Linked DNA regions of Drosophila melanogaster. The protein of the gene in region 4 interacts with the protein of the main gene of each other region in a pairwise test. Each region holds a gene or a part of one and is shown on either strand. Other genes may lie near its edges.

What was found.
Region 1: the proteins of CG12679 (region 4) and Pex3 interact in a two-hybrid assay, tested with the Drosophila melanogaster proteins (one large-scale study listed by BioGRID).
Region 2: the proteins of CG12679 (region 4) and Obp58d interact in a two-hybrid assay, tested with the Drosophila melanogaster proteins (one large-scale study listed by BioGRID).
Region 3: the proteins of CG12679 (region 4) and fax interact in a two-hybrid assay, tested with the Drosophila melanogaster proteins (one large-scale study listed by BioGRID).

Annotation. Positions count from the first base shown.
Region 1 is NT_037436.4:15,140,685-15,148,622, reverse strand, and holds Pex3 (peroxin 3), read right to left. Parts: upstream 4,269-7,938; 5' UTR 4,074-4,268; intron 3,955-4,073; 5' UTR 3,842-3,954; coding exon 2,684-3,841; 3' UTR 2,244-2,683; downstream 1-2,243. Other genes in the region: CG32147 (uncharacterized protein), read left to right, coding at 4,614-4,826, 4,913-5,374; Pdi (protein disulfide isomerase), read left to right, coding at 6,170-6,323.
Region 2 is NT_033778.4:22,703,900-22,710,457, reverse strand, and holds Obp58d (Odorant-binding protein 58d), read right to left. Parts: upstream 3,525-6,558; 5' UTR 3,511-3,524; coding exon 3,382-3,510; intron 3,326-3,381; coding exon 3,197-3,325; intron 3,143-3,196; coding exon 2,744-3,142; 3' UTR 2,686-2,743; downstream 1-2,685. Other genes in the region: CG30275 (uncharacterized protein), read right to left, coding at 1-135, 186-743, 799-1,079, 1,133-1,260, 1,320-1,427, 1,482-1,775, 1,992-2,306, 2,366-2,634; Obp58c (Odorant-binding protein 58c), read left to right, coding at 3,798-3,839, 3,896-4,244, 4,305-4,513; Obp58b (Odorant-binding protein 58b), read right to left, coding at 4,890-5,101, 5,166-5,517, 5,701-5,748; CG30259 (uncharacterized protein), read left to right, coding at 6,060-6,200, 6,271-6,523.
Region 3 is NT_037436.4:16,407,491-16,415,976, forward strand, and holds the start of fax (failed axon connections), read right to left. Parts: upstream 4,339-8,486; 5' UTR 3,929-4,338; coding exon 3,512-3,928; intron 960-3,511; exon of another isoform or gene 847-959; coding exon of another isoform or gene 838-846; intron 674-837; exon of another isoform or gene 617-673; intron 1-616. Other genes in the region: Serinc (serine incorporator), read left to right, coding at 5,355-5,390, 5,758-6,313, 6,379-6,488, 6,548-6,731, 6,794-7,003, 7,313-7,466, 7,512-7,665; GluRS-m (Glutamyl-tRNA synthetase, mitochondrial), read right to left, coding at 7,900-8,311, 8,372-8,486. UniProt on the Drosophila melanogaster protein: Together with Abl, involved in embryonic axonal development.
Region 4 is NC_004354.4:20,373,552-20,380,439, reverse strand, and holds CG12679 (uncharacterized protein), read left to right. Parts: upstream 1-3,917; 5' UTR 3,918-4,047; coding exon 4,048-4,620; 3' UTR 4,621-4,676; downstream 4,677-6,888.

The DNA.
Region 1 (7,938 bases), on a different chromosome or scaffold from region 4:
ATGACGCACTTTTCTTTAGCTTGAGTCGTGTCCTGCTTTCGCTTCCTTAATTTATGTGTTTATATTTAGTTAGGTGCTGTGGCCCCTTGTCACATGGCACTTGATCTACGCCCTTAGTATGTCAATATGCCTATATATACTGTGCAATATAGGACCCCAAGCACCCTAAAGGGGAGGAATGTGGTAAAAAGGTGATGGGTGCAGGGGTTGCCTGACTTGCATGCATTGTTTTCCTCGAATTTCCCACACGGACTTTGGCTGGGGAAAATGTCATTTCTTTGTTATCTTCACGCTGACGCACTTGACTTTCTTGGCTACAAGTTAATACTCTTTGTTGAAGGACATGTTATGATTTGCTGTACTATGCTTTGATATACCCAATATTTGTTTGAATCCGAAATATATATACATACATATATATAAATTGGTTATTTCTTTAAAATTTTTCCAATCTTATTAATGCTTTCTGCATTTGTTCAACATTTTTCGACGAATAGCGTATTTTCTGATTTTTCAAGATGGATAGACATAAGTGATTGGATTAAGAAAGCCAATTAAATTTGTCAAGAAATAAAAAATAAGAAAAATTGTAATTCGTTTTCGAACCTTTTTTAATTTTATTAGATGTGCATATATACTTTTAACCTTTATTAAAACCTATGCCAGTTGGAAAACTTTTATTTGATCCTTAAGATTTTGAAAAAGCTTTTTGATCCTTTGATTTCATTTAATTAAATTTTTTAGATTTAAAGCCTATACCAAATTCGATACTGTCATGACTTTTTTAAGGGTACTTTGTAGTGCCTTACCATTATTTCTTGAGCACTCGTTTCGAGGAGCTGCCTTTGAGTAGTATTTGATTGTTTCTTCGCAATTAGTTAGTTTGCTCACTTGTGGCCCTGCTAATAATAAAGTGTTGATATTTTTAGACCTTATAAGAGTGGTATTCCCGTTACTGCCGTTACTGCCTTTCCCCCACACCACCGCCTTTGCAGCCCCCTCCCACACCACTGTACGCACGCACTGTCTGTCCCGTTACCAATATACCGCTGTGTCTGTCTTTTTCGCTCACATGTGCTCATGTGGCCTTTTGATTTTCATGTTCAGTTTTCTCTTTGTCTTAATCAATATATTTTGTGGTCGGCTAGTAAAAAGTTGATGGGCTAAGTGGGCTTTTAGCCCCATCGACTGGTTAATAAACATTTTGCAAGTGCACTTACACAATTGAGCCGCCGTTGTTGTTGTTTGTTTGTTTGACGGTGGGCTTTCCTCCTTTAGCTGGCTTTTCCAATTTGTGTACTTTTTGCAGTATTTCTCATATTTGCACACTCGGTTTTAACTTGGCTTCGAATCAGTTATTCAATGCATTTCTTTCATTTTTGTATATTTAATTATTTTTTTTACACCAACACATACGCAAAGTCTCGCAGGGATGTATAAAAGTAACTGTTGTCCTTTGCCTTTTCACGTAACTTTTGCAACTGCGCCCAAAATGGAAATTTTGTACCAGACAGCTGGGCACCCGAAGGAGTAAGAGAGACGGATGTGAAGAGAGAGTCCTGCGAGAGCGAACAAGTCGCAGAGGGGCGAGCGTGATGTAAATGTATCTAATTACTTTCACCTCCTTAAGCATAAACTTGGTTCAATTTATGAAATCTTTTAAGTTACTTTCTGCTTGATAGTTATTCATAATTGTTATATTATAATGAATCTTCGCACATGCGGCATTTCTGCGCAAGTGCTTGAAGAGAGTGAACAAGGGAGAGAGCGGCAAGAACAAGAGAAATGGCAAACAAACAAAAGCCACAGACACAGCTGTCTTATCACAGGGCGGTTTTCTGCCACCCCCTTTTGACTGATAGCAAAGACAACCGTTACTTGTGGGTTGTGTCTTCGATAATTCAATTCTTATATTTTTATACATATTAAGCATTTATAACAAGAGAGAATGCTATAGTCGAGTTCCCCGATTATCAGATAACCGTTGCTCCGTTACTAAATTAATATATTATGTACATTTAAAACCGCAAACTGTTAGAAACTTGGAGGAAAAAGTATATAAGAATCTCGTATATCTCCGACATAATTATTGAATTTATTTCTTATTAATTCAATACAAGTATGCACCTATGTACGCATGTATAATTTATCATTCTATAAATCAATATCTGTTTTAATTAGCTGTAAGAATAAAAAGAATAAGTTCCTTCAAAAACTTTAATATGCAAAATAATAGTCTTTAAATACGGGGAATGCATAGTTTATTAGGTTGCCATTTGTTTACACTTCCTTTAAGATTAAGACCCAAGCTTTCTAGCATGGTATAAATAAATAATCTGTCACTTATCATTCTATTAATCAATTACACTTTAAATTACATTTTCATATAGTTTGGATACTAAACTACCCTCAGGTCCATCCTATATGATTCTCTCATATGTTGCATTTCCTAACTTTCCATTTAGATTAAAAGGCCTTCACGTTACTCGATTTGTGTCCCTGCCCTGAAAGGATTCCCCGTGGACGAAGCTAAACCTAATACGGGTTGGGTTCAAGCAGACATACAAACAATGCTTCTGAGAATACAGATCTTATTAAAAATATACAAGTATATAAACTATAATTTTCCAATTGTCTTAGCCTAGCCTATGCACGGATGCATAATCCAAGTTTTGTTGATCCTCTAAGCGGAGCTAAAGCTTTCGTAGACGTTGGCCCCCAGCGTCTTTGTCTTCTCGGCGACCACGTAGAAGGTTAGCAGTTGGGTGGGCAGATTGTGGGGTCGCGAAGTGGTATCGAAGCCTCTCGAGGTGAGACCACTGATGATAGGAATGAGCTTTGCCAACGCCAACAGCACTCGGTTGATGTTCAGCAAGTTATTGTTCTCCAGACCGTTTTGGCTCTTCGAGGTGCTGGCGCCTAAGCTTCCTGCCTGGTTAAACTTGACGCTCTGTTCTTGCTGCGTTTGGACTTTAGCTTGTGGCAGATGCTGCAAAGTTTCGCCCATGCTTTCGGCGATGGCATCGCAGGCCAGCACAAAACCACGGCTTACATTGTGCGAGCACACGCCAACGGCATCCTCGCTCTCCAACAGATCCAGCGTCTCGTTGACCATCTTTTGCAGCAGCGGCGAATGACTGGGATTCTGGCTGGGCAGCAGATACTTGCTCATTCGCGAGTTGGGATCCCGACGAGTGTCCGCATTGATGGCCATTTGCAGTGACCAAAACAGTTGCTCCAGGTCGCTAAGGGAAAGCTGTTCGGAGAGCGGTATGGTCTTGGTGACTGCGATGACCTGGGTGCGAATGTAACGGGCTAAGTCCCGGATGCCCGAATCCGTGATAAAGTGTCGGATGAGGGAGAGATACTGCTGCTTTAGCTCGTCGGTGACTTGTTTTTGTTCCGTCATGATGTCCCGATAGATGTAGCCACCGAGAAGATTTAGCTGGACCCTCAACGCAATAACCAGCATGGAGGAGGCGTAGACATAGGTTGCCAGTCTTGTGAATGCCACAATTTTCATGTCCTCCCAAAGTTCCAACTTGTTCTTGGGATTCTGGCGCAGCTGCTCGAGCAGCTCGTCCGTGCTGCACTCCCTCAGAACCGCTTGGCACATCTCCTCGCCCATGCCTAGGATCACCTGGTTACACGTCTTCTCCGTCGACTCAAAGTGGGTCGTGCGCCGCGTTCTCTCGAAGAATTCCCTGGCCTGTTTCTCCTGGAACTCCACGAATCGCCGTTGTGCATAACGTGCCGCAAAGATGGTACCGCCCACCAGAACGCCGGTCACTATGAACTTTCGCCGGTGGCGTGACAAGAAGTCCTGCAGGCGCGACAGCATGTTAACGATTGGAAAAGGCCTCTTCTGCCGGATGGACAACTAGAATCCGCTTCCTGTGTGAAATAGGCCAACTGCTGTTCAGATATCCCACTTTTTCCCGCTCCACCGGCGACCTGTTCGAGGTTAATAAATAGTTAATGTGCAAAGTTCACCTGTGTGCGTAGGGTGGTGCGCTGCCGGCGTCGCTGCCAACAGAGGAGCGTCCTCCACTCATCCGCAGCGATTAGATTACCAGGTAGTGCTCACCTATATACCCCTGCTCGGAAACTCGGATCTGGTGCGCCGCCTTATCGGGTCGATTGCTGGCCTTTGGATCGGATCTAGCTCTGGAATGTATGGAATGGATTTATCCTTTGTTGTTGTCGCTAAATGTGTTATTTCTCTGTTTGGTGCCGCATACTGCGTCGTCTGTTTCCGTTCAAGAAAAATCCCAAAAGTGCGAGGTTCGGGAATACCGAAAAATACCATTTCGTTTAGTATATTTGGTGTTACTGTTTAAATTTTTATTGAAAATGGGGATGCTTTTTAGTTATTTATTTTTTCGTTATTTCGAAGTGGGTTCAAAAAAAAATAGAAAATATAAAATAATGTTAATTCACCTATAAATGACGAAAAATAAAAAACTTCGATATGCTCCAATTTCCACCGTTCCGCCATCGTCGCAAACATTTGAAACGCATGATTCAAAGGGTGAAGAAGAAGATAGAAATCATATGGTATTTAAGATAGTTCTGTTGTTGGTGGGGGGTTTAGTTTAGTTGGGGTGTTTGTTATGGCGTCGTCAGATCGAAAGCTCATTGTAGTCTCCGGATTTGGTCCATTTCTCGGTCACGAAGCGGTCAACGCCAGCTGGGAAGCTGTGAAACTGCTGCCGGAAATCCTAACTCACGATGGCATAGAATATGATCTGGAAAAGCGGTTGGTTTCGGTGGAATACGGGGCTGTGGACGAGGCGGTGGCGGAGATTTGGAAACGCCAGCCATATGTAAGCATCGCAATTGAACCATAAATAGATAGAGGCCTTATGATATCATCTTTCTCCCAAAAAAATAAAAAACAAAAAAAAAACAGCTTGTTATCCATGTCGGTGTTTCGGGCGTTGCCAAGTGTGTATACATCGAGAAGCTGGCGTACAATCACAAGTTCCGCCGAGCTGATAATTGTGATAAAAAACTGGCCAACGGCACTTGCGAACTACCCAACAATGGACATGCAAATGTCTTGAAGACCGAATTAGATGTGGATAAGATTGTGGCGGTTGTAAATGAGAATTGCGCCGATTGTGTGGGACCCACACAACAGCCGACACATAATGATAATCTCAAATCCCTGAGCGCCACAAAGGCATCCAAAAATGTGGGTGACTTTCTCTGCGGCTATATCTATCTGAAATCGCTCGATATGGACAGAAAACGAAGCCTGTTTGTCCATGTACCTCCTGTAGATAGGCCATTTAGTAGTGTTAAGACTTCGGAAATACTTTTTAGCATAGTCGAACAATGCATTCAACAGGTGGTCGCTTTTGACTCCTGAATTCCGCAAAATATTCTTCCAATATCTGTCTTTTTAAGAATTATTTACATGTGTGCTGTTAAGTTGTTTAAGAAATGAGTTTTATTCTTTTTAAGATACAATATTTTATATTTACTTTTTATTACAATGAAACAGAGAAGCAATACAACTGCATTAATAATTACACAGTCTTTTTTGCGTTTACACAACACCAGTCTTTATTTTAAAAAGGGTAAATGACATAAAGAGAATGACGTAAGTTATTTAAAATAAAATTTAATAAAAAAAATGAATTAAAAAGAAGAATTATAAGGCCTTTACAAATTGCCTTATGTTAAATACAAGTTAACTTATATACAATACAATACGATACTATTTATATCACAATATTTTAAAATTATGGTATTCGAAAAAACCGTAATATTTAAAAAAAAAATAGTACATTACTGAATTAGTTAAATATAAAAATAAAACTTCAAATATATAAACGAGATCCTAAACTAAAAAAATTTACCTTCGACGATTGCCAACCTTTGGGCACCCAAGCGCCACCTACAGTTCAATGCTCATTCATTGACAAATATCGATATTAGTAAAATTTATCGGAAACTTGTAGAGAAATACCAAAAATCCCTCACCTAATTCAGCTTTATATGTATATATCTCTGCGTTTCACTGTCACTTGAATTCATTTGAATTTCTACTTGCAACCGGGCAAGTTCAGCGCAGTTCGAATCCCAGTTTTGGTTGGCGAGTGTGCTGCACCCACATAGGGCAATAGATTCAATAAATATCAAACGACGACGAGTGCCCGCAATGAAATTCCTGATCTGTGCACTTTTCTTGGCGGCGTCCTACGTGGCCGCTTCCGCCGAGGCGGAGGTCAAAGTTGAGGAGGGTGTTCTGGTGGCGACGGTGGACAACTTCAAGCAGCTGATTGCCGACAACGAGTTCGTGCTGGTCGAGTTCTGTAAGTACATGCTTAGATCGAAAATAAGGCACGAAAATCTCAACAAAATGTGGCAAAAATCGAATATCAAAATGCGAAATGCGCCGGCCGCTAGCGCGCTCTCACTCGCACCCGCTGATTCATGCGGCTTAGCGGCTACGTGGTCTTTCAAAGCGTCGGAGAAAATCTGTCTGCGTGGCAGTTGTTGTTGACTTGAAATCTGGACTATCATGTTGCACGGCAAATCCTAGTTGATCAATGGGCCAACTGACAGACTAGTTCCAATCGGCGGCCTGGAAAATTTGTTTAGTTGATTTTCCAGCAAATTTATCGTTTGTTTAACTGTTTTTATCTCTCTCGCGTCATCTTGTGTTTTTTTTGTGACGGGCAGGGAGGAGCGCGCTCTCTCAAACGCAAGTGCCATCTCTTTTCCGCACCTGTGCACGCAAGCGAGAAGGCCTTATAGCCTTATACTGCAGTACTACTTGTTATTGTTGTCGCCATAAACCTGCTATAATTTTGTATTCTTGCAAATACTAAATGCCAAAGGAAACAATAAGTTGTGCGCAGCATATGCTTTGCGTTTTATCGACATTTCTAGTTATTGTTCTAACACTGCGCCCGTGGGGCGTGGCCACAGCATATCACACATCCGCTTCAATAATCTCCGACTGAGAATATCTAATGGAAACAAAAGGCAACAAAAAGTTGTCGGGCAACTCATCTCTTCTCCTCCCACGAATCTAGGTTAGCCTGAGCAAACCAAACCACTTTTTATTCGCCATTTGCTTTCTCTGGTTCGTTCTGTTTGGATTTTTTGGTTCTAATTCTCACTTACAATCTGGTTTCTGTCCCTTTTTCCACGGCGGCGCAACGGCCATACATTGGAAAGTTCATTCAACTCTTTCTCTGCGTCTTTGCGCGTGCCTAACGGTGTTGCGTCGCCAGTGATGCTCGGCACGAGCAACAGATTAGTGTGCATGGTAATTAGCTAGAAAATAGCCAGAACTGGGAAAGAGGTGTAATTATATACTGCTGTAAAATGATTTAAAATGTTCATTTGAAAAGAGATCTGACCTTTAGAAAATTTTTGTTTTATATTATGAGCAAAATTGTCTATTGCATGTGTTAAAAGCCTACAAACGGCCTGCAAAATATTCGTAACGGTTATTTGTATAACATTTTTATATATAATATATACAGCTTAGGAATAGACAGTGAACACGCTGAAAAACTAATTACACAAACCTTAAACTTAATTTGTTATTTGTTCATGTATTTCCAAGCCGTTTCTCAACATTGACGAGTTAGATAAGACAACAGTTTTTAAATACTTTGTAACTGTAAGTTATGTTTTTTTTTTAATAACGAAATCCTTAGGTAAGCCGCCCCACTATTCTTCAATGAAGTTTTATGTTCTTCTAATGACAACTCGAAAAAATCAATCTTGTTATCTAGCAAGAGATAAACGTAAATCAGAGATACTAAAAAGTCCCCCATTCGGCGTTAAACCGCCAGAAATGCTAGCCTGGCATCTTTGGTTGCCAGCAATATGGCGGACTTGTGAGTTTGTTTATGCCAGCGTTTCTCTCGGTGTTTGCTTAATTAACTTTTTCACATTTTGCACCTTAATTTT
Region 2 (6,558 bases), on a different chromosome or scaffold from region 4:
TGGCGGTGGTAGATCCAGCTTTTTCCTCGGTTTTTTATGATTCGCCTGGACCCTAGTAAATACCGGAACCTTTTTAATGGGCTTCGGCTCTACGACCATCATCATCTTTTTCAAGTCGTTGCTGTACTTATAGCCCTAAAGAGTAATTTTATCAAAAGTAAATTTCTAGCGCACTATTCACTTACGTCGACAGAATGAATGAAATAATAATCGTAAAAGCTTGTCTTCCTGGCCAAATCCCTAAATATCAGACCGGCACTAACCAAGAAAAGAGGATGCAAACGCAGTGATATGATCTCTGCCCTTCGTCGATTCAACTGATATTCTTGCTTGGGAAGGTGGTAGTGTTCAAAGAGTTTTTCATGACTGTGAAATTCTCGCACAATCACAAAACCAATCGCAGTGTTTTCCCTAACAGATCTCGTAGAGATCCCACACCGAATCGTGAACACGGCGAACTCACTAAACTCATTCTCCAGCACATCCTTCATGATCGCATCGAGCACATGGAGCTCGTGCTCCAGCTCCTCCCGCTCGTTTACCTTGGAGCAGTACGAGAAGCTGCTGCTGCTTGAATTAGGAGTTTGTGTGTTACTGGGCAAGTTCCCAAGTGCCAACTTGTGCACATGTGCCACGTCCTCCTTTTCCAGTTTGTACAGACTAATCTCCCCAAAGATGGTGCTGCGATGTGTTATGAATACATCGTCCAGGCTGGACAGATTACTTGGCCGTGATGCGACTGGCTGGTGTATGAACTATTTTAAACTATTTCGTTGACTTAAACTAAGTCTGGCCTACCATAAAGTACTGCATCACCTCCAGATAGCTCTTGCTCGCCTTGTACTTCACCGACATCAGCATCATGCAGTAATCCCTGTCCGGATAGGCGCTGAAAATGGCCACCATTGCGTTGAAGAGGCGTGGCAGTGGGAAATCCTGTCGTGCCACAATGCACCTGAGAAGGAAAACGTTTGATGCCGCCGCCATGGCCGCCGGACCTGCGGGCTCCGTTCCGGCCGGATATATAAAATTAATCACGCTTTGTTCGTGCCGCAGATAGTAATCGGTGCTGTGGAGTTCTAGATAAACCCATGTTATGAACGGAGCATCCGGCATTCGCAGTACAACTCACTCTCAAGAATGTACTTGAACTTGGAGTACAGACATTCGCGCATGTAGAACTTATTTTCATTCGCCACATTTGTATCCACAATTGTGCCGCCAATGGAGCTGACCTTCATCTTACCCAGGCTGGCCACGCTGTTGAGAAATATAAATCATTGTGGATATTTGCCTTACAAATTAATAAATAATCACACCTCATACCGCTGTCAACCTTTTGCAGTCCTCCCAGAATCGTCACCGCATTCAGATCGTCGAGGGCATCTGCGGTGAACATGCTAGCCTCCGCTCTTCGCTGTACCGATCTGCAGGACAGTCGGTAAGGAATTACTCTTTCCGCACGTAAAGCCATCACTTACGACACCGTCATCGTCTCGTAGTGGAAGGACCTTCCATCCGCTGGCTTCACCAGATTGCCAAATTGTTCCATCTCGTAGTTGCGCACATAGAACATAATGTCTATATCCGAGGACAGCCACAGAAAGATGGCCATTTCTGACTCCTGCGACTGATTGATTGTTTCGGCCACAACAAGCATACTCTTCGGATTCTGTCCCATTACCTCCTCGGCAATGTAGTAGTCGCCCAGCTCCTCTCGCATTTCTGGGTTCTCGACCTCTTGCATTGCTATAATATCGTCGTTATCTTCGGCCCTTCATGGGAAATATTTAAAACAAAACAAGAATGTTATTGAAACAGTTTCTTCAAATGCCTAACAATATCTAACAATATCTTAGTAGGCGATATCGATTTCAGACAAACTGATTAGTAGTCTGCTGCTTTTTAAGAGGCATTTGAATTTAAAATTTCAAATGCTATTTCTGATATAGTATACAATTTGAACAAGGAGCACAAAGAACAGAGCTTACAGTGCCTTCCGGTAAGTAATCCTCGGCAGAATTACGAACCTATCCACAATGTACAGGGACTGTGTGTTGTTATTCTTATCCATGCTATATTCCAGCGGGTAAAAGACCTGGGATATTTTTTCCAAATCATCGAAGGTTTCCACAAAGTGGATGGGTTGTGGCACATACGGACACCTAACAGTGATCAGAAACCACACCCTGCTCTCCCTGTAGAGCACATCCTTTATGATCTCAACCAGAACCGGGGACTGATCGCTCTTGTAGACGCAAAAGTTGAAAAACAACGCATTCAGCCAGCTAATGGACATGGATAGGCTAAAGGATATATCGGAAATAGATGATATATTCAACGTTTTAAGTCCTTGTATCAGTACCAGTATCTGGTGGACAACCATTCCAACCAGCAATCCGTGGGCAAAGCGGCAATGGAGGGATAGTTACGGAACTCGGCATAGGCCACCAATGCGGAGGATTCAGTGCAAAAAGCCAATATCCTGTAGGTCTGATAGGAATTGAACAGGGAGTCCTTGCCACGAAATTTCGGACGGATATTGCCGAACCACTTGACACCTGGCGATCGAATCAGCTTGTTGAGCCCATCCTGGTCTCCCGCTTGAGCCAAGCGAATCTGAAACTGATTCATCAGTGCGAATAATTTATGTGTGTGGTGTGTGATTAAAACTAAAAAACATACTGCGTTTATAAGCTTAATTTTATTACATGACATTTTTGAGTTTTTTTAATACGTATTCTTAGGCAGGACTCTTTGTGGGCAGTGTAATTCCATCTATTTGGTAGCATTCGGCTTTGGCATTTTCGCACATATCCTTAGTTCCTGCCTTGGCAGTGCCCTCCCACCGGAAGTAGGGACACTCGTGCTTCTGATGATAGTCACTGATGCACATGAATACCATCAATAGATAGGGGCGACAGGCTCCTTTCAGGAGCACCTTAGCCCCAGGACTGGCCTTTAAAAGGTTGTAGACCCCAACAGCATCCTTGCGACAGAACTCGAACATGGCAATGTGATAATCCTTCTCCTTGGGCCGATCCACAAATGTCTTTTCTGCATCCAGCTTGACCATCTTCATGTTGATGGTGTCGCTCTTACCAATGTACTTCTTTTGCTTGTACAGGCACTCCACAAAGCACTGAAGATACAAATATTTTCGTTATAATAGATATATAAAGCTTTAATTACCTACCGATAGAAACCTCAGTGTCTTGCCGATGTCAGCGTCCCCATCCACTGGCAACTTGGGTGAGTGTATAACGAAGCACTTGACCAGGTCCTCCTCTTCTCCTATATAAAGTTCAGAACAGCAGCCAGCCCTCTAAATTGAATTTTTAGACTTAATACGTTTGCTGTTCGGTTTTAAAGTAAGCTCACCGATGTGTTACACTTATCCTCAGTCAAGTCACCTGAAGATATGGCAACTGCAGTAGTTTCCTCATTATCCTGAGCCTTTGAAACGGCCACCAGAATTAGGAACGTCCAATAACAAACAATGTTGACCATTGCTTTTCGAATGTGATTAATTTACCATGGTCATAACATTTATAAAACCATGCGTGCTCATCATTTTGGATAAATGAATTTAAACCCAAATTGGATTGCTTAATTAAATGTAACAAATGTCCATTGTAATGACTGGAATTAAATGAGCGGATAAAGAAACATTTGCAGACAGTCTGATGGCTCGACATTTGGCAAATTGGCAGCGGTTTCCTGTTTTTATTTAAACGATATGTGGGTGACTATATAAGCTGTCGTAGTGGGCTGATTTTGGTATAAACGGCGGAGCAATGAAGTGCACCATTTTATTGAGTTTTTTCAGCCTGATTTGGGTGAGTTCGAGGAATGAAATTCACACTGTTTATATATATTCAAATACATGACTTAGTTTGCTGGTGGAATTAAAATTGATTGCGAGAATACGGAGGCCATTAACGAGGACCACATCCACTATTGCTGCAAGCATCCCGATGGACACAATGATCTAATCGAAGGATGTGCCAGGGAGACCAATTTTACGCTGCCCAATCAAAACGAGGAGGCACTGGTGGACATCACGGCGGACCGAGCCATCCGAGGCACTTGTTTTGGCAAATGCGTCTTTAGCAAACTGAACCTGATGAAGGACAACAACCTGGACATGGATGCCGTGAGAAGTTTGTTCACTGAAAGGTTTCCCGACGATCCGGAATATGCCAAGGAAATGATCAACGCCTTTGATCATTGTCACGGCAAAAGTACAGAGTTGTTATTTCAGCAAGAACTTCTTGGCTAACTGATATTTTTTTCACCAAAAGGCGAAGAGAATACCTCCATGTTCCTGTCGAAGCCCCTCTTCAAGCAAATGTCCAAGCAATTCTGCGATCCGAAGTCTAGTGTCGTCCTGGCCTGTGTCATCCGCCAGTTCTTCCACAACTGCCCGGCGGATCGCTGGTCGAAGACCAAGGAGTGCGAGGATACCCTGGCCTTCAGCAAGAAGTGCCAGGACTCGCTGGCTACTTTGTGAATAATGAGAATATCATTCTTCTGCAATAAAGAACATTAAATTTACGATTTACGACATTCGAATTATTTTGTTTAGATGAAAAAATGTTATGCATTCAGAATTATTCTGTATATTTGGATGTTTTTTTTTTTATAGGGATGTAATGGTAAACAAATACGATCAACTTGACATTAGTTAATATCGTATTTTTGCAAGTGATTTGATAACAATAAATCCATTTAATTAAATGTATTGCTGAGTTGGCATTCAATCACCCACCATTACTTATAAACCAAAAGAGCACATGAATTGAGAGCCATTGTTTTGCTTTAATCATTGGAAAATCATTTCGTTTTCCCAATTAAAATGTATTTCCTGAGGCAGGACTCTAAAGTGCTTACATAGTAGTCAGCACATCCTTGCACTTCCTAGCAAAGGCCAAGGTTTCCACGCACTCGGTGGTATTTGACCAGCGACTCGCTGGACAATTGTGGAAGAAGTTGTAGATGACGCAGGACATGATGATACTCGAGGTCGGCTTACAGAACTTGGCGGTGGAGAAGGCCCTAACAATTGGAAGTGATAGGAACTTTTCGGTGGCCTCTTCAGCTAAAATTTGGAATGGAAAAATTCAATTTTAAACTATGTTGATGGTTATTTTGCATGAGCTCACATTGTGTGTGACATTTTTCGTAGGCATTCAGCATTTCAGTCGCGTACTCCGGATCTGTTTGATGGTACCGCTTGTAGTACGAGCGCACCTTGTCCATATCCAGTGTGTTGTTCTCCATCAGATTGTAGTGATCGAAGACGCACTTGGCCCAGCAGGTTCCAACCATCGCCTGGTCCACGGTCACATCCACGATGGCCTCCTCATTGGGACTGGGCAAACGAAAGTTGGTCTGCTTGGCGCAAGATTCCGTGACATCGTCGTGGCCATCCTGATGTTTGCAGCAATGGTGGATGTTCTCCTCGTGAATACGCTCCATGTGCCGGCAATGAACTCGGACAGCCACGAGTCCATTCTGCATAGAAATATGCACATATTAAAGGATTAAAAAGTAGCTCGAATACGGATCCCCGATGGACCTTGAACTTTCAAAATTATTATGTACAATAAATCCGATCTAGTGTGGATAATCCATTAAAAACACCCTCGAACATTATCCAATCCAGAACAAATTGAAAACGGTGTTATGAGTACGTACCAAGCGCAGTGATATAATCACACAAATCACGAAACCAATTCTCAGCATGATGACAGCTTTCCAGCGGTTCGTCCTCAGTTTTATATGTCAAATGGTTCCCCTTTGATGGACAGCCCTAATGGCGTTTTCCACTGTTTCGCATTAATTTAATTCGCATCCATTATTATGGCAACAAACCTGGCGACGAAAAGCGAAATTATATGGAGTGGGTGGGCTAGTGAATCTTGTCATGGCAACGCCGGCAGTCAATTTATTATTTATTTTCCAAGGCGGCTCTTTGCTCGCCTAATTAGTCAGAGATTGGCCTTTGAAATTTGATAAGCTGATTTTTGGTAGCCGTAAAAAAAAAAAACTAAATCATGGGCAAAAAGGGTAAAGGAAAAGGCAACAAATTGGCCAACATGTCCGAGGAGGAGCGGGCCAGGTATTTGCAAATGAGGGCCGACATGGAGGAAGAGACGAGGCGGCGGAAAATGCAGCTCATTTCCATGTACATGAAGGTAACACACCACGAATTTGCAGTAAATCAAAATCAAAATCCCTATGGTATGACTTTTCCCATTAAAATAGAACAAACTGAAAAGAGAGGATGCTTTTGGTCGACTCAATATGGCTAAAATCAACCAGGAGTGGCGGAGCATTTTGCGCCAGGTGAAAATCCAGGAGCTGCGCCGCGAAATCGTCGATGTGGAGTCTTTCTTTCAGGAGGCACTTAAGCGCAAGGACCAGGTGATCCATCGCCTCATTGCTCACATAGAATCCACCGAGGATATGTACGCCAATCTGCAGCAGTCACACATGGAGAATATCACCAGGATAGTTGGTACGATTGGGATAACATCCTTAAAAATAACATTT
Region 3 (8,486 bases), on a different chromosome or scaffold from region 4:
TGCAGTGAGAACAAATATTGCCTTAGTTGGTCATTAAATTGGCAATCGTATTTCACAAGAGTTCATTTTCAAAGCATGGCCATCATTTTGGATACACACAAGTACAATCAATTTGGGGAAGTTTTAGTCACTATTTTATGTTACTGTTACTGTTTTAATTAAGTTTTGAGCAATTGAGTTTATGTTCTATTGTTTTCATCTTGTAGACATAATTTTCATGGGCATAGAGGGATTATAGGAAATTATTATTTGCTATAGTTATCGTAGTAAATGTTCTGCTGTAACCCAGATTCTAAAGATACTCATAAATTGTAAATGTCCATATGGAACCAGGAAGGAATTTTTTTATTTGTACGCCCATGACTAATGCAAAATGTAGTTCACTCCCCCGCAAGGATTCCGGCCGCTAGATGGCGCTCATGACATACATCTAGCCGGCAATCGTTTGTTTGCGTGTGTATTTGGGCATTTCCTATGTATGCCAAGCAGATGCTGATGAACCAACCACTACACGAGAAGCTAGCTGTACCTCCCGGGAACCCAAAAACCCAAAACCCGGACTCGAAAACCGAAAAACCCACCCAAAAACCAACACCCCTATACAACGCACACTCACACACACGCCGCACAGCGGGAGGGAAAACGTCGTTCCAATTGCCTGCTATTCGAACATTTTGACATATTCCAATGCCTTCCAGTGTGTACACACGTCCGCACGAAGCGTTACCGTTAGCAATGTGACAGTTATAGGCGGCGGGTGTCCGGTCTGAACCTTTTCATTTTCAGCTTGGCTGCACAAATCTACATAATAATTTCTAATTAGAAATATGTACATACGAGGGCCATAACAAAGAGCCAACCGTTGGCATATTTTATGCTTTCGCGCCCTCTGCCAAAAAAGGGAGAGGCAGGGTGTGGTTGTCCGCCAGAGCCGAGAGAGAATCGGCGAGAGAGTGAAAGGAAAGAGAGGGCGCTGTTGTTGTAGAGAGATTTTCGCCTTCCAGCATCGCAACGCAACGCTCTGCAAAAAGGGTGGAGTCCATTTTTCAATTCCAATGATCCACAAAAAAGGCAGCCTGTCTGCCAGCTTCCTCTTCTCCATCTCCATCTCCGGCTCCGTCTCCATCCTCTTCTCGTGCCCACGCACAATGCAAATACTTATGTTTTATTAAATCGTTATGCCACTTAAGGCAATCGCTCGTCTCCTCAATCTTTGTTCTTTCATTTTTTTCGCAGTGTAAGAGTCAGCAGCAGCAGAAGAAGAAGCAACAGCAATGCAATTATGCAGCCTGCGTGTGCGAGTGTGAGTGTATCCACACCCTTGCACAGAAGTTCCAGAGAGAGAGAGCGAGAGCGGGAGAATTGCACTGGAGCGAGTGAGCAACAACAAAGGCCGTCCACTGTGTGTTGTTTAAATGCAAATATGCGGTTTATTAATTAAAACAAAGGCAGCTATAAAACGTAAAAAATACAAAAACGAGAAGCAAAAAAACTCCATTTCCTCCCAACATACACACACACGCACACATGGACATACGATACGCACACATTCGCACATGTACAGTTGCAGCAGGAGAGGCAGCAGCGTTGCCAGAATACCTTGAAATTGCAGCCCGGCAATATTGCACAAATGCAATGGCGCGCCAGCATTTCCATTTGAATTTTAATCGCTCTGTGCCCGCAATGCATATGGCAGAGAAAATGTAAATTAATTGCACAATCTACGAGCGCGACACTCAGGAATGCTAGCAATGCGGGCCACCGCCTCAAAAGCGAAACTTATGCCCAGTTGTTGTTGTTGTTGCTGCTGTGCTTATTAATGGGCGCCGCCTTCAATGTGGTGTGAAAAAAATATGCATTCGGTTTATCATCAATAAAGAAACAACTTCTGCTCTTGTTTACACTGACGAATGTGTGTACACAAAGGAGGAGAGCAGGCAAGAAATGCAGCCGAGCGCAAGCAGCAGGGGGGAAAACTGGCTTAGTCAGTTGCATTTACAGTCAGTCACCCTCCCTTTTTTTCCATGATTAATGCCGCGCTGCAGCAACAACAAACCATGCCAGAAATGTCAAAGGTCCCCAGTTTGTTGAACTCTTTTTTTTACCCACCCCCCACTCCCTCCTTCCTACTAATCGAATGCCGCCGTATTTTGGGCAGCCTGCGCCTTATCAGTGGAATTGGGAATAATCGTGAAAATGGAAAGTAATTTCCAGCTGCGGGCCGAAAAGCGGCCACTGACGGACTGTCAATCATAATTGCTTCGTGGAATGCAACATATGGGGGCGATTGCTTATCGGCATCTGGAAGGCGACGGCATCAATTAACATTCCGCGCAAGGGGCTCGTTTTTCATTAACCAATGTAATTAATAAGATTAAACAGCAATTGCGTCGCCAGTTTTTGTGCGGGTGACCGCACCCATTTCTCCCCCGGCCACTACCACATACTACACGCTTTTCCTCTCGCACAGAAAAAATATGAAAAATATGCAAACCGCATCGCGCGCTTTAAAAAGTGAAGGAAAAAACAACAAGCCAAAATGGAAGGCACCATTGGAAGTCGTTGACAGTTGTTTGTCTGCCACTCCCCCCACCCAGCCCCCAACACTATTACAGCTACTTAACGGATAAGAAAAGAAAGGGAAAAGGAGAAGGGGAGTTGGAAGGCGAAGAGGGAGACAGCTATTTCTGAGTCCAGCTTAAACTGCATCAATTTTTATTAAAAGCAATTACAAGCTGCTGCTGCTGCTCCTGCTAAAGTATACAGAGAGAAAATTTGCTGTTGTGTGGATGGAGTGAGAGCACAGTTGCATGGATCTCGAAGATGCTAAGAAAAGATGCATGCAGCGCATAGAGATGACAACTTTTCGTGCAGTGCAAAAAGAAGTCGAAAGAAAAGTGAAATAAAAAAAAAACAGTGCAGCAACAAAAGACAAAGAGCAGACGGCGAGAGAGGGAGCGAGACAAAAGGAGAGAGTCGGCAAGTGCAAAATTTGAAGCACGACTTTTGCAAAGGGGAGCACAAAGAGATGAAGGGGTGAGGGGCGGCGTCGGCGCACACACAAATTTTATGTATACGCTGTGCACACACACACGCGCAAAGGACCAGGCTACAGGTTCACACACACAGGCATGGGCGCTGGGAGAGAGAGGGAAGGCGGCACAAATGTATCCCTTTTCAGTTACGGGGCAGGGCAGGTCACACACACACATGCACACGGGCAGGCTTAGCAGCACACCATGATGGCGGCGCTGGCTCTCTTCCCCGAGCTCTCTCGCTCTCTCCCGCAGGAGCTGGGAAAAAATCTGTACCGCAAAAATGCCTTGAAAATCTGGGATTTCTGGAATATCTGAGAGTTTTCGGCTCTTCCTGGGATTCTACCTAGTCCGTTTTTGGGTTTTCCCTAATTATCCTGGGTACTTTGAAGGATGCCAAATGATGGCTCGATTTATAATGAGGTTTTCATGAATTTTCTATGGTTTTTTTCCCCGGATTTATGACCACCACTCACCTCGTATTTCAGGCCCACAAGACGCAGCCAGGTCTCCACCTTCAGGCAGTAGGGCGACAGGGAGGGCAGCAGTGGGGTGCGCGAGAACTGGTACAGATAGATGATGTCCTTCTCGAAGTTGGTCTTGTGCACATTGAATTTCTGGGCGGGCGGGGCTTCCGATTTGGTCGCCACGGGTGCTGCCACCGCCTCGTCCTTTTTGGGCTCCTCGCCATCCTGCTGCTTGTCCTGCTTTCCGGCCTCGCCGTCCTTCTTCTCGCCATCGGCATCCTCAGCCTTCTCCACTGCGGGGGCGGCAGCTGGAGCGGCCGCTGAGTCCGCTGGCGGGGCCGCTGACTTTTCCGGCTCCTCTGATTTTTCCGCCGCCGCCACTGCGGGCGTTTCCTCGGCGGGTATTTGGGCCACTTCGCTTGCCATTTCGATTTGTTGCTTTTGTTTTTTTTTTTTGTTTTTCTTTACTTTTCGATCCGCTTTTCTTTTTGTTAGCTACTCTTGCTTTTCGCTAATTGAAGTTGCGCTTTCTTTCAGCTAAAAAGATTTCGGCTTCGCACTTTTCCTGCCACTCGCACACATACACACACGCGAGAGAGAGGGAGAGCTAGAGAGCGAGAGAGAAACCACCACTGCGATTCGTTTCGTTTCGAACTCGGATTCGGGTTTCGGGTTTCAGCTGCACGATAGGATATCTTGGCTGGATGCGATTCGCTTTCGGATTCGGATGGATTCAGGAGCCGCTGTCTCGACACCGCCGCAACCGCTCTCGGGAGTTTGAAAATTTGAAATGAGCGGATTCGCGTTGCGAAGGCGAGCTAGCGTTGCAGGCAGTGTGGCCAGATGCCGCGTGCGAACGTATTCTCGAATGCAATCGGCCGAGTGCAGATGCACTAAAAATAACCCACTTCCAGTGACTGGAAATTAAGATCAAGGAATAGATTTTATAAAAACTTATATGAGTAAAAATTTTAAAATTGTGGAGTCAACCTAAATTATAAGCAACTAATTTATAACACAAGTAAAGAATGATATTAAGTAACTTTTTAAATAATATTCCATTATGCTTACGCTCAATTTATGAACAAATGTTTTCTCGATCCTTAGGTAAAGTTTCGAGTTTCGCGACTAGATTTATTAAAATTAAGAACATCTCCATTTATGTACACATTTAAAGATTTATGAGCGGTAATATTAGCTGGTTGACTGAACAGATACCCTTTTAAAACTACTATCAATAGAACCTTTTTCTGTATTACCTATTTCGACTCTATCAATAACTGTTACAATAGTTAAGTTAATTCAAAATATAATATTAGTTTATGATTTAATTCACAAAAATTGATCTGAACTTTCTCTCTCATTCAGCTTTCAATAATGTTTTATGTTTATTTATAACGTTTGTTAGTTTATTTTAGGAGACAAACTATTTTGTTTTGAGAAACTGCAAAGCGCCATCTGGGAGGGAGTGGCAGAAGTTTTGAAATTTGAATAGGGAACGGATGGCACCTCCCGACTTTTGCAGAAATCAGCATGGCAACTGTGGAAGTACAGAAAATTGCAGTAATTTACTTCAATTTTAAAACTATAAATTTTAAAATTTGAAACATATTGAAAAATTTAAGACATTGAAAGAGCATTTTTAAAATGCAAATATGCGAAAGAATTGATCCCATTTACTTTTAAATTTACAACTGCTTACGATTGCTGAAAAATATCGCCAGCCGCTGTATTCGATAGTCACTATAGGCAGTAAATAGTCCATCTCTATCATTTTCACAAACAAAGATTTGTTTAATTTAATAAAAACGCAGTTTGACTAAAGTAAAAATCTAAGTTTATTGCTGCAACAATGGGAGCTGCTTTGGGCATCTGTTCAGCCGCTCAGGTAAGAAAATTGCGAGCTAATTAGCCAGGTAAAATTCTTTACATTGGCTACAAATCAATAAAAGCAGACATATGTTTCAAATGCGGAGAAATTCAACATTTTATTAATTTCACAATACTCATGAATGCTGCTATGATTTTCATCTAAAAGAAAGATTTAGCTTGCAATTTGAGCTATTAGATACTTTAATGAATTTTTAAATTTTTAATAAGTTGAAAACAATATGAAAAATGTATTGCAAACTTAACTTTCGATGGTTGATCATTCAATTAATCCGGATTATTGACAAAACTTATTAGCAAGTTGGATCAAATAGAATAATTCTTCAATTGCGTCTCCATTTAATACTTAATTCTTGCATTTCCAGTGCGCCATGTGCTGTGGAGGCACTGCAGCCAGCATGTGCTGCTCCGCCTGCCCGAGCTGCACCAACGCCTCCTCATCGCGCTTCATGTACGCCTTCATCCTCCTGGTGGGCACCGTACTGGGGGCGATTGCGCTGTCCCCTGGACTGCAGGACACCCTGAAGAAGATGCCCTTCTGCATCAACTCCACCTCGTCGTATAGCTCGGGAGCACTCAGCGCTGTCTCGGGAGGATCTCTGCAAGTCGACTGCGAGTATGCACTTGGTTACATGGCAGTATATAGGGTTTGCTTTGGCATGGCCTGCTTTTTCGCTCTGATGTCACTGATTATGCTGGGTGTGAAGAGCTCCAGGGATCCGCGTTCGCACATCCAGAACAACTTTTGGCCACTGAAATTTCTGATCTGCTTTGGCGCTGCGATTGGAGCCATCTTTATTCCGGATGGATCCTTTGGTCCGGCCATGATGTGGGTGGGTCTAATTGGTGGCCTGGCCTTCATACTCGTCCAGCTGGTCATCATTGTGGATTTCGCTCACTCGCTGGCTGAAAACTGGATAGGTGAGTCATGTTCCGGCCCATCTCCCAAATGATTCAACTCGCTAATTATCGAATTCTTTCAACAGAAAGCGCCGAAAACAGTCGTGGATACTACTATGCCCTCGCTGGGGTCACTCTTTTGTGCTATATCTTATCGCTGACTGGAATTACCTTGCTTTATATCTACTTCACCACCGTGAGTGTCGTTTCTATGGCTTATTTACTTTGTAATTAGCATTGTTTTTATATTTGTAGAGTACTGGCTGCGGCATCAACAAGTTCTTCATCTCCATCAATCTCATATTCTGTCTGGCGATTAGCGTCATTTCGATTCTGCCAGCTGTGCAGGAACGCTTGCCCCATTCTGGCCTACTGCAGAGCTCCCTGGTTACCTTGTACACGGTGTATCTAACCTGGTCGGCAGTGGCCAACAATCCTGGTAGGAAAATGAATCCAGAACCCTATATGTGTATATCTCATTTGGTTGTTTTGAATCAACAGAGAAAGAATGCAATCCAGGCATGTTTGGCATGATGGAGGGATTCGGCAATGCAACCACCACGGCAGCACCGCCCACCCACACCACCAGGGTCACCTTCGATACGACCAACATCATCGGACTGGTCGTCTGGTTGCTGTGCATCCTGTACAATTGCATTAGCTCGGCGGTGGAGGTATCCAAGATCTCGCACGATAATAGCGAGAAGCGTGGTAAGTGTTCTGTTTCCATTCGCCGTGCTCCGTTCGCATTCCCAGCGATTACCACATTTCCACAGTTTGCATCACGCATTCATTCGATCGCTTTGCCCTCACTTTTCATTTTCCTCGCTGTACAAAAAAGAAAAACCCAAGCTAATACTGGTTATTAACACTCGTTTGCTATTGCCGCTTTGTTTATTCTTTATTTTCTTTTCCGACTAACCCAACTAATCCCCACTTGGTTATTTGGTACTCGAAACTGTGTGAAAAATATGGCCAACTGGCGTTCCTCTTGCACTCTGATTAATGTAGTTTTAACAGAAGCTCTATCAGACACAGAGGCGGGCACGGATGGCAGCGGAAAGCCGAGCACCGACACCGAGACCGAAGGCGTCACCTACTCCTGGTCCATGTTCCACTTGGTCTTCGTCTGCGCCTCGCTCTATGTCATGATGACCCTGACCAACTGGTACAAGTGAGTAGCAACAGCACTTATCGTGCTAGGAAAATATAATCCCAGCAATTTTTTATTCCCACAGACCTCATTCGGAAATCGAGCTGTTCAACGGCAACGAGGCTTCCATGTGGGTCAAGATCGTCTCCAGTTGGCTGGGTGTCTTCATCTATGGCTGGAGCCTTGCAGCGCCCATTGTTCTTACCAATCGCGACTTTAGCTAAGCGATTTTAGTATATTAACGTCTAGGAATGGTGCTTAAACGAGCAAAACGAGAATGCCAAAACGGAACGCGGAGAGGAAATAGTATCCGAAACTGATGCAGATTAACCATACACAATTTTGACTCTACATGTGGTGTCTACTCATTGATCTTATTCTCAAATTGCAAAAGTTATCAATATATAAATTAATCTATTATATATACATACAAATACAACAGAACTTAACCAAATCACTGATGTTCTTCTAAATGCAGACTTTCCTTGGGCAGAGCTTCTTTGAGTCGTTCGAGAGTGACGGATTTGCCTAGGATCTCCATCATTTCCGCTACGCCAGGACCTTCTTTTAGGCCACTTAGGGCTGCTCTTAGTGTTTTCATCATTAGTGGGAATTTGATGTTTTCTTTTTGAGCAAAGGATTTAAGCTTAACGTTGAGTTCATCCTTGTGAAAGTCCTGGATAGCGTTGATTAACTGCAGCAAGTGAGCTAGTTGCTCTGCGGTCAGGTCTTTAATTTGAAAATCGCTGGGTTTCACCCACAGGAAACTCAGTTTGCTGCTGGTCAAATCTTGGAGCAGTGTTAAGCGCTTTGATGACCAATTCAGCACATCCAATATGTGCTCCTCGGCTAGATCTAAGTTGGAGCTAAAATAGAACGGGAGATTAGTTAGATATGTTTATGGTGCATTCAATGTTTGGGCTTACTGTTGCGGATAGGCTTCTTTCACCAGCTGTTGCACTTCATTGACCAATTTCGTACGACTCTCATTCCCAGACAAACGCTGCACAATCTCCAGGCGATTTAGATCATCGAGCAGTT
Region 4 (6,888 bases):
CAGGGGAATACGGATACGTCAGTGGGCAGGTTAAACATTTTCGTTTGATTTGTTATCATTGTGGACCGCGTTTTTGCTGCTTTTGTTGCTGCGGCTGTCGTGGCTCGATGATGGCGTTTGTAATTTCGTTTTCGGCACTACGTAATTTATTAACTTTTCATTGAAAGTTATGTGCAAACGCACGTTGACGACATCTTTAATTAATTACATTTTAACATGATAATTAATAGTGCCGCGTGCGTCGACAGGCCGACAAAGCCGCCAAAGTGCCGAGTGCCAAACGCCAAACGCCGAACACCCCAAATGCTAAATCAATCGATGGGTGCTGGCTCCATACCCACCTAGAAAGCCACCTGAATCCGCCCGAACCCATGCCGAAATCACCCAAGCCCGCGACCTTAAAGCAGTCCGATCTTGAGTTAGGTTATGGCTACGTGCCGGCGATACGAAGTTGGCTCGGCTTTAAAGCCAAGCCCATCCATCCATCGGGGAGCATCGATAGCCATAATAATAACAGCGGGCACAATCAAACACACTCAGTACAAAGTCGTGGGCACTGATGATGACCATAATGATACACAAACAATTGCCAAGGAATTTCAATTCAATTCCCTTTAATACCCATCAATTGTGCACTTTTCGGCCGTGTTCAATTGCCTTGTGTCAAGTCTAAAGAAATAAGTCTTTCGTGATTTTCAATTCGAATAACGCTTAAAGAGGGTATATTTTTGCATGTAATGTATAAAGTTCTTTTAAAGGTATTTTTTAAGGCATATTTAAAATCCGACAACAATATGAATTTGACTTACATCAGGACAACATCAATAGGGAGTATTCCTGAGTCCGGAGAGAGTTGCCTCCATGGCGAACCATTTCCACTACTGCGTTTGTACTTTCTGTTTTTCCGCATCTTGGGTGTGTGCTTGTGTTTTTTTATCATTCCGCCTTGTTCACAGGACTCTTCGTCCTGCTGGCCGCCCAAGAAAGTTGTTCGCACAGTAGCAAAGATTGAGTTCTTATTCAATTTGTACGGATTTGTTGTTCGCCGGTCCTTTTGCAGTCCGCTCTTAAAGCCTAACCCCAAAAGCCTCCACACCACCACACACCCCCCCAGCTCAGTTGCTCCAGGTCCTGTCCAGCCACTCATCTCGGCCAATCCCAATCCCCAATTGGCCCCGGCTCGAGCCCACTCAACTTCTCATTCTTCTTCGGCTGCTCTATTGGAATTTATTTCATATTATTTTCGTTGGTCATGCCACAGTTTGGCCCCGTCAATATTTCTCCCTACCCCTTTTCCTAATCCCAACCCTAGAACACCAAAACCCGAACCCCCGAACTTAAACCACCGGCAATACAAGTTGGCACTGGTCGGCATTGTTTTTGGGGTGCGATGGCAAAAGTTCTTCGTGTTGTGGACCCAGCTGCAGTCAATTTGAGTTGACCACCCAAGGAGCACCCAGGACCATCCAGGACCATCCATTCAGGACTATCCATTCAGGACTATCCATTCAGTACTATCCTGCACTTTGGCTGGAGGCCTGCAGATGGATCAAGTTAGCTGCTAGTTGACTCCTGCTGCCAGTCCAACGAATGCTCGGGGCCAATCAATGCGCCGGCAAAAGTATGCTACGAAAAAGTTGCTGTCGAAACGGAACTGGAAACAGAGAACTGCAGCCCGCCACTCGCACTCTACGTCCACCCGATAAACACTCGGTACTCTAGGCACCCCGTTTTTTTTGACACCCTACTTGCGGCAACACAAAATACTCGAGTGTTTTACCGACGTTGTGTTTTTGTTACGAGTAAAAAAACCACCCGAGGCCTGCTGCGCAAGAGCCGTATGGGTGAGTGGACGCACAGTCAACGATCGGCCGCAGGTCATTTTTTGTATGCGGGCTGCAGTTCTCTGGTCATTTTTTGTACGCCTAAAATTTGTATGGGTGGAAGCGTGACGGGTATAAGAAATGAAGGGTAAAAGGGAATACCCAAGAAAATTTTTGTGCTCATGTCTTTGCTCTTTGATGGACTCAATGGGTGCCTCCCATTTCAAACACATAAAGTAATTGCAATTAAAGACGGCATTTGTTGATTTTTACGTTTTTTAATGTCTCAATCTAAATAATAAAAACATAGTGGGCTTAAAAAGTATCTATTAAATATAAGGACTTAATGTTGTTGGATCAGGTAGTAAGTCATCGACGTCTACCTGTTCCCCATAGATAGCGCCGATTTGTAGGAAAAACTTCACCAAATTTTTAAATCCGGCTCCGGTTACTGCAGAAAACGGCCGACAATCTTGGACAACCCATTGGGTGCATTTTTCAATAGCTACTTTCTTGTCGTTTTCCGAAACAATTTTTAATTCCGTTGGTCGTCTTAATGTTAGACAACATTTATGGCGGGATAAATTGGAGGTGTTTTTGTGTAAAAATTTGAGCACTTTCTGGCATTGCCTGCAGAACAGCCATCCGTCCAGAACAGTTTCATCTTCCTTTAAAATGTCACATAAAATGCTCCAAATAACACTTTTTCCTTTATGTTTATTGGCAACTGAGTATGTTCCATTGTTAATTTTATTTTTAACGAAATCAGCCGCTTCTGCCATTATTGTGACCTTTTCCTTTGGCTTCCAAATAATACTGAATCCTAACAAGCTAGTAATTGCATCGTAAAAAACAAAAAAGGGGCAATTAACAGCCGAGACACTGGACCAAAGACACAAGAACTCAACAATCATTATGTATGGCGCCATTTGACTCGACTACCTACGAGACCACTCGAGTATTTTTGGAAACACCCGAGTATTTTTGGAAACACCCATGTGTTTAACGGTATACCCACAAGTGTTTTTCTCACTCATCCCTTTTTAGGCACTGTGTGAGCGGCACCCGCGACGCAAAACACCGTATTGATTCGGGTGCGCACACAACGGGGTGTCTTGTCTGCATGTTCAGATTTATACTGTGTGTTTGTAAGTACCCGCGATGTGCGTGGCGAGTAGCACCCGCACACAAAATTGTAGGGTGTGAGTCGAGTGGTAAAAAAGTGCCACCCTTGCAGTTCTCTGACTGGAAAACCATGAAAATGTCCTTGCCAGCTAAATGCCACTCTCTCTCACACACACACAACCACACACACACGTCCAATGCAGTGCGGGAAATTTCTTGGTATAAACTTAATAATGCATCGGGGCAAATAAAGGAAAAAAGCAAAAGAAACAACGGCAAGTCGGAAAGCCAACATAAGTTTTGGGGCTAACTTGTTATTTTTGTAATTGGCACTTTGCAGTTTTATTGAAGCGTTGGAGCCCCGAAAAGGGCGCTCGGGATTTTGGGGGTTACCACTCCCGTCCTTTGTGCGGATCAAAATCCAGATTGGTTATTTATATACTGCGTTCGTTCAGGTGTTGTGATCGATGTTCTGATGCTGCCTCCCTAACCACTCAGCCGGGAGTGACTCAGTGACCCTGCCGACATCCATCCCTGGTCGTAATCTGAGGTGGCCAACGTTAGCCACTTTGGCGATGAGCAGCCTTTGTCCCCTTGGCATACTGGCTGCACTGGCTTGGTTATTGGTTATATTTGGTTCAGGAACTTCGGGATTTGAAGTGGGTTTGGATTAGACAACGAATGATTGCAACGAAGGAAGGGTATGCAAGCATACTTCATAATGAGGATTGTTAGTCCTTGTAGCCATTTTAATTCTCATGTTGTATGTCGTAAAAGGTAAAAGGTATAAGTATTTGAATAAGAACGAGAACCCGATACATTTGTGTATTGCTTATGATATGGCCATTTTAAATCTCAAAACATTTATCTAGCAAAACTGAGTTGATAAATCGATTAAACAGAGTTGGCCTGGACTCGGTCTTCAATGTTCTGCCAGTGGGAGTCATTTGGATTCAGTCATTCCAGACCCCAGTCTCAAGGTAGCAACTTTCAAAATTTTTAGTTCCTGTGTTCGTAACAAATAAGTGAAATCGCATATCGTGATACCAGACTGACAGAATCGATAGAATTCTCGAAGGAACGAAGAGAAGCGCCGAAAATGCATGTGGTGGGGGCACTGGTCAATCTGCTGCTGATCTTGGCCTGCATTTACACGATGACCTCACTGACCCCGGCGGACCATCCGTATGCCTTCCTGGCGGCATCCTTCAGCCTGGTCCACGGAGTGCTGGGCGTGGTTCGCTCCTTTGCCAACGAGCCCGACGAGTGCGGACGCACCTTTATGATCTCAGCCATCATACTGGAGGTTATCCCGCTGCCACTGGCGAACATCGAGTTCTACCTGGTATCCGATCAGTCGGGAGTGGCGCTGGTGCACGGCCTGTCGTTGATTCCACTGTTCTACGACATGATCGGCAAGATCAGCGAGGACTGGGACAGCTCCACGGAGACGCTGATGGACCTCGCTCTGTTGGGCAACATCGGCTCCACGTTGTATCTGGCCATCAAGGACGGCAACCATATCTACTTCGGTGTGGCTGCCACCGCGCTCCTCGCCAGATACGGCGGTGCAATTGTCGATAGCTGCAACGAGGGCCTTAGCAACGTTGTAGAGACTCTGGGAAACACCGGCATCCTGGCCCTTATGACCTACGCACTCACTGAGGGCTAATTGCTAAAACTTAAATTTGATCGGTTCGCGAAATAAAGCCAAGATGATGAATCAGCATTTGAAATTGGTTGAGCCAACTATCATTGAATACAAGGCACTAGGGATTTGTAGTTTGGGGATATGAATTACAAATCTACAATGAGAAAGGAATAAGCAATATAGCACTACTATATAAGCCATAAACCATGTCAAGGGTATACAGACTTCGGTGTGCTGCGGCTAACTAGCCTCACTCACTCGCGCGACTTCAAATTGCCAACTTAGTTGTTATTTGTTCGCTGTCTGGCTGAAGGGGCAGCGCGAAAAAGACGCGGTTCAAGGGCCGAAGGACGACGGACGACGGACGAGGGACGAAGGACTGGGGTCTCAGGACGAGGGACTCAGGAGGGCAGAGAAGGAAAGGGACGGGGCAATATTCGTGGACGCAGCACTGTGATGGCTCTCACGTCACCACTTCAGCAAATTGCGGCAATAATGCAACAAAGGTTTCTTGGGAAACACATACCAAATTGCATAAGCAAGGCAAGGCAAGGCAAGGCCACGGAAGCGGGGTGGTGTGGCCCGCTTCCTTGGGGCGGTGCTGGTGGTGGATGGATGTTCACTCCTTGGCGACTGGAGGACTGAAAGACTGAGAGACGACGTCAGTCGCTTGGCCGCCAAAGCTCTTGAACCGCCACACTCCTGCATTTCATTTTCAATTTGATTTTTTTCTGCCCTTTTCTTTTGGATCTTTGTTTTTTCCGCCACAGAATGAAGAACGAAGAAATTCCCCTCAACGACTCTGCGCCCTTGTTTACATTTTTGTTGGCTGTTGTGGTTTCCGCTTTTGGGGCCCGCGTGCGATTCCGTTTTCGTTTTCGTTGCAACATTTTTGTTTGTAATTTACTTTGGAATGCTGGCGCCACAGTCGCCGTCGTCGCCTTGTGCGGTTTTCTTAGAAAAATCTCCAGTCGCCGTAATTGCAGTGCCCGCAGTGCCGCCTGTAGTGCTCCGGACGACGGACTCCGGACTCCGGACTCTGGGCTCCAAACTGCCATTGCCGACAGGCAAATCAACTGTCACCCAGTTGCTCAGATGCGGGACCACGGGCGGTATGAGCAATTTCGCATTCCTCATACGCCGCGTGGGTCGCAAAGGGAGTGGGGTAGGTGCAAGGTAAGAAATGCGGGTGCCACTTTAAGCTTGCGTCCACAAAACATACCCAAATATCTTCGCTTTGCATAACCATTTGTCTGAAGAACGTTAGGCAGTAAATAATATATATGTACATACATATCGGCGAGTTAAGGTATGATGATGCCTGAATGTGTAACAGAACAGATTTTGCTTCTGCAATTACAATGGTGTCCCTTCAGTTTTTAATGGTTAAAATTACGCATATATATTACGAGTGACGGGTATATGACTTATTCATTATTCTGCCTATTTTGGTTGGCATACAAACAATCAGCTTTCCAATAAAAAAGACATTTTTCTGAATATGAAAGTTTTTTTTCTACATATCCCTTTTTATTTCGATTGGGTATCCTAAATGTAGTCCATCGCATCGCCACAATGTGGCCAATGCTAATATGCAGTCGGTTCCTTTATAGATAGGTTAAGGCTTTCCCTTTTGTCATCTTGAGCGGAATGTGATGTGTCTTGGTCCAATAAGAGGTCCCGAGGAAGGGCCATTACTTCCTGTCATCTCTTGTCTAAAGGACGCTCTAGTCCTTTCAGCGTTCCGATCAGGCGAACTTGAATGTTGGCATCACTGGGTAGACTCATTCACCATATTCCATGGCGCACACTTAGTCTGGGTTGACTGATTGACCATATTGGATCTATGGGGGAATTGAGGCTCCCACTCTTTCGGGATTATGTTTGGGGAAGTGGAACGGGCTGCGTTGATCAGCATCTTGATGATCAGTTGTGCTATCAATGTGGTACTTCCGGTTGGGGTTCTAGATGAGAAATAAATATAATCGAAACGGGTCAAAGCCAATTGTCAAAAATATGCAAGGCCATATAGCGCTTAACTATGTGAGCAAAGGGTATCTAATAGTCGCGACACTCGATTCTAGCCGTCTCTCCATTAATTAGTATGTAGGTAGAAGGAAGCGGCTCCGATCTTGCCATGTCCGTATCTCGTGAACTTTAAAAGCTAGACAAGCAGATTCTTTTGGCGGTCTTATATATCTTATCTTATATATCTTATATCGTATCTATCTATATCTATATCTTCTCTTATCTTATATAGCGTTTCTCCTGATTGTTTTGTTCATATAT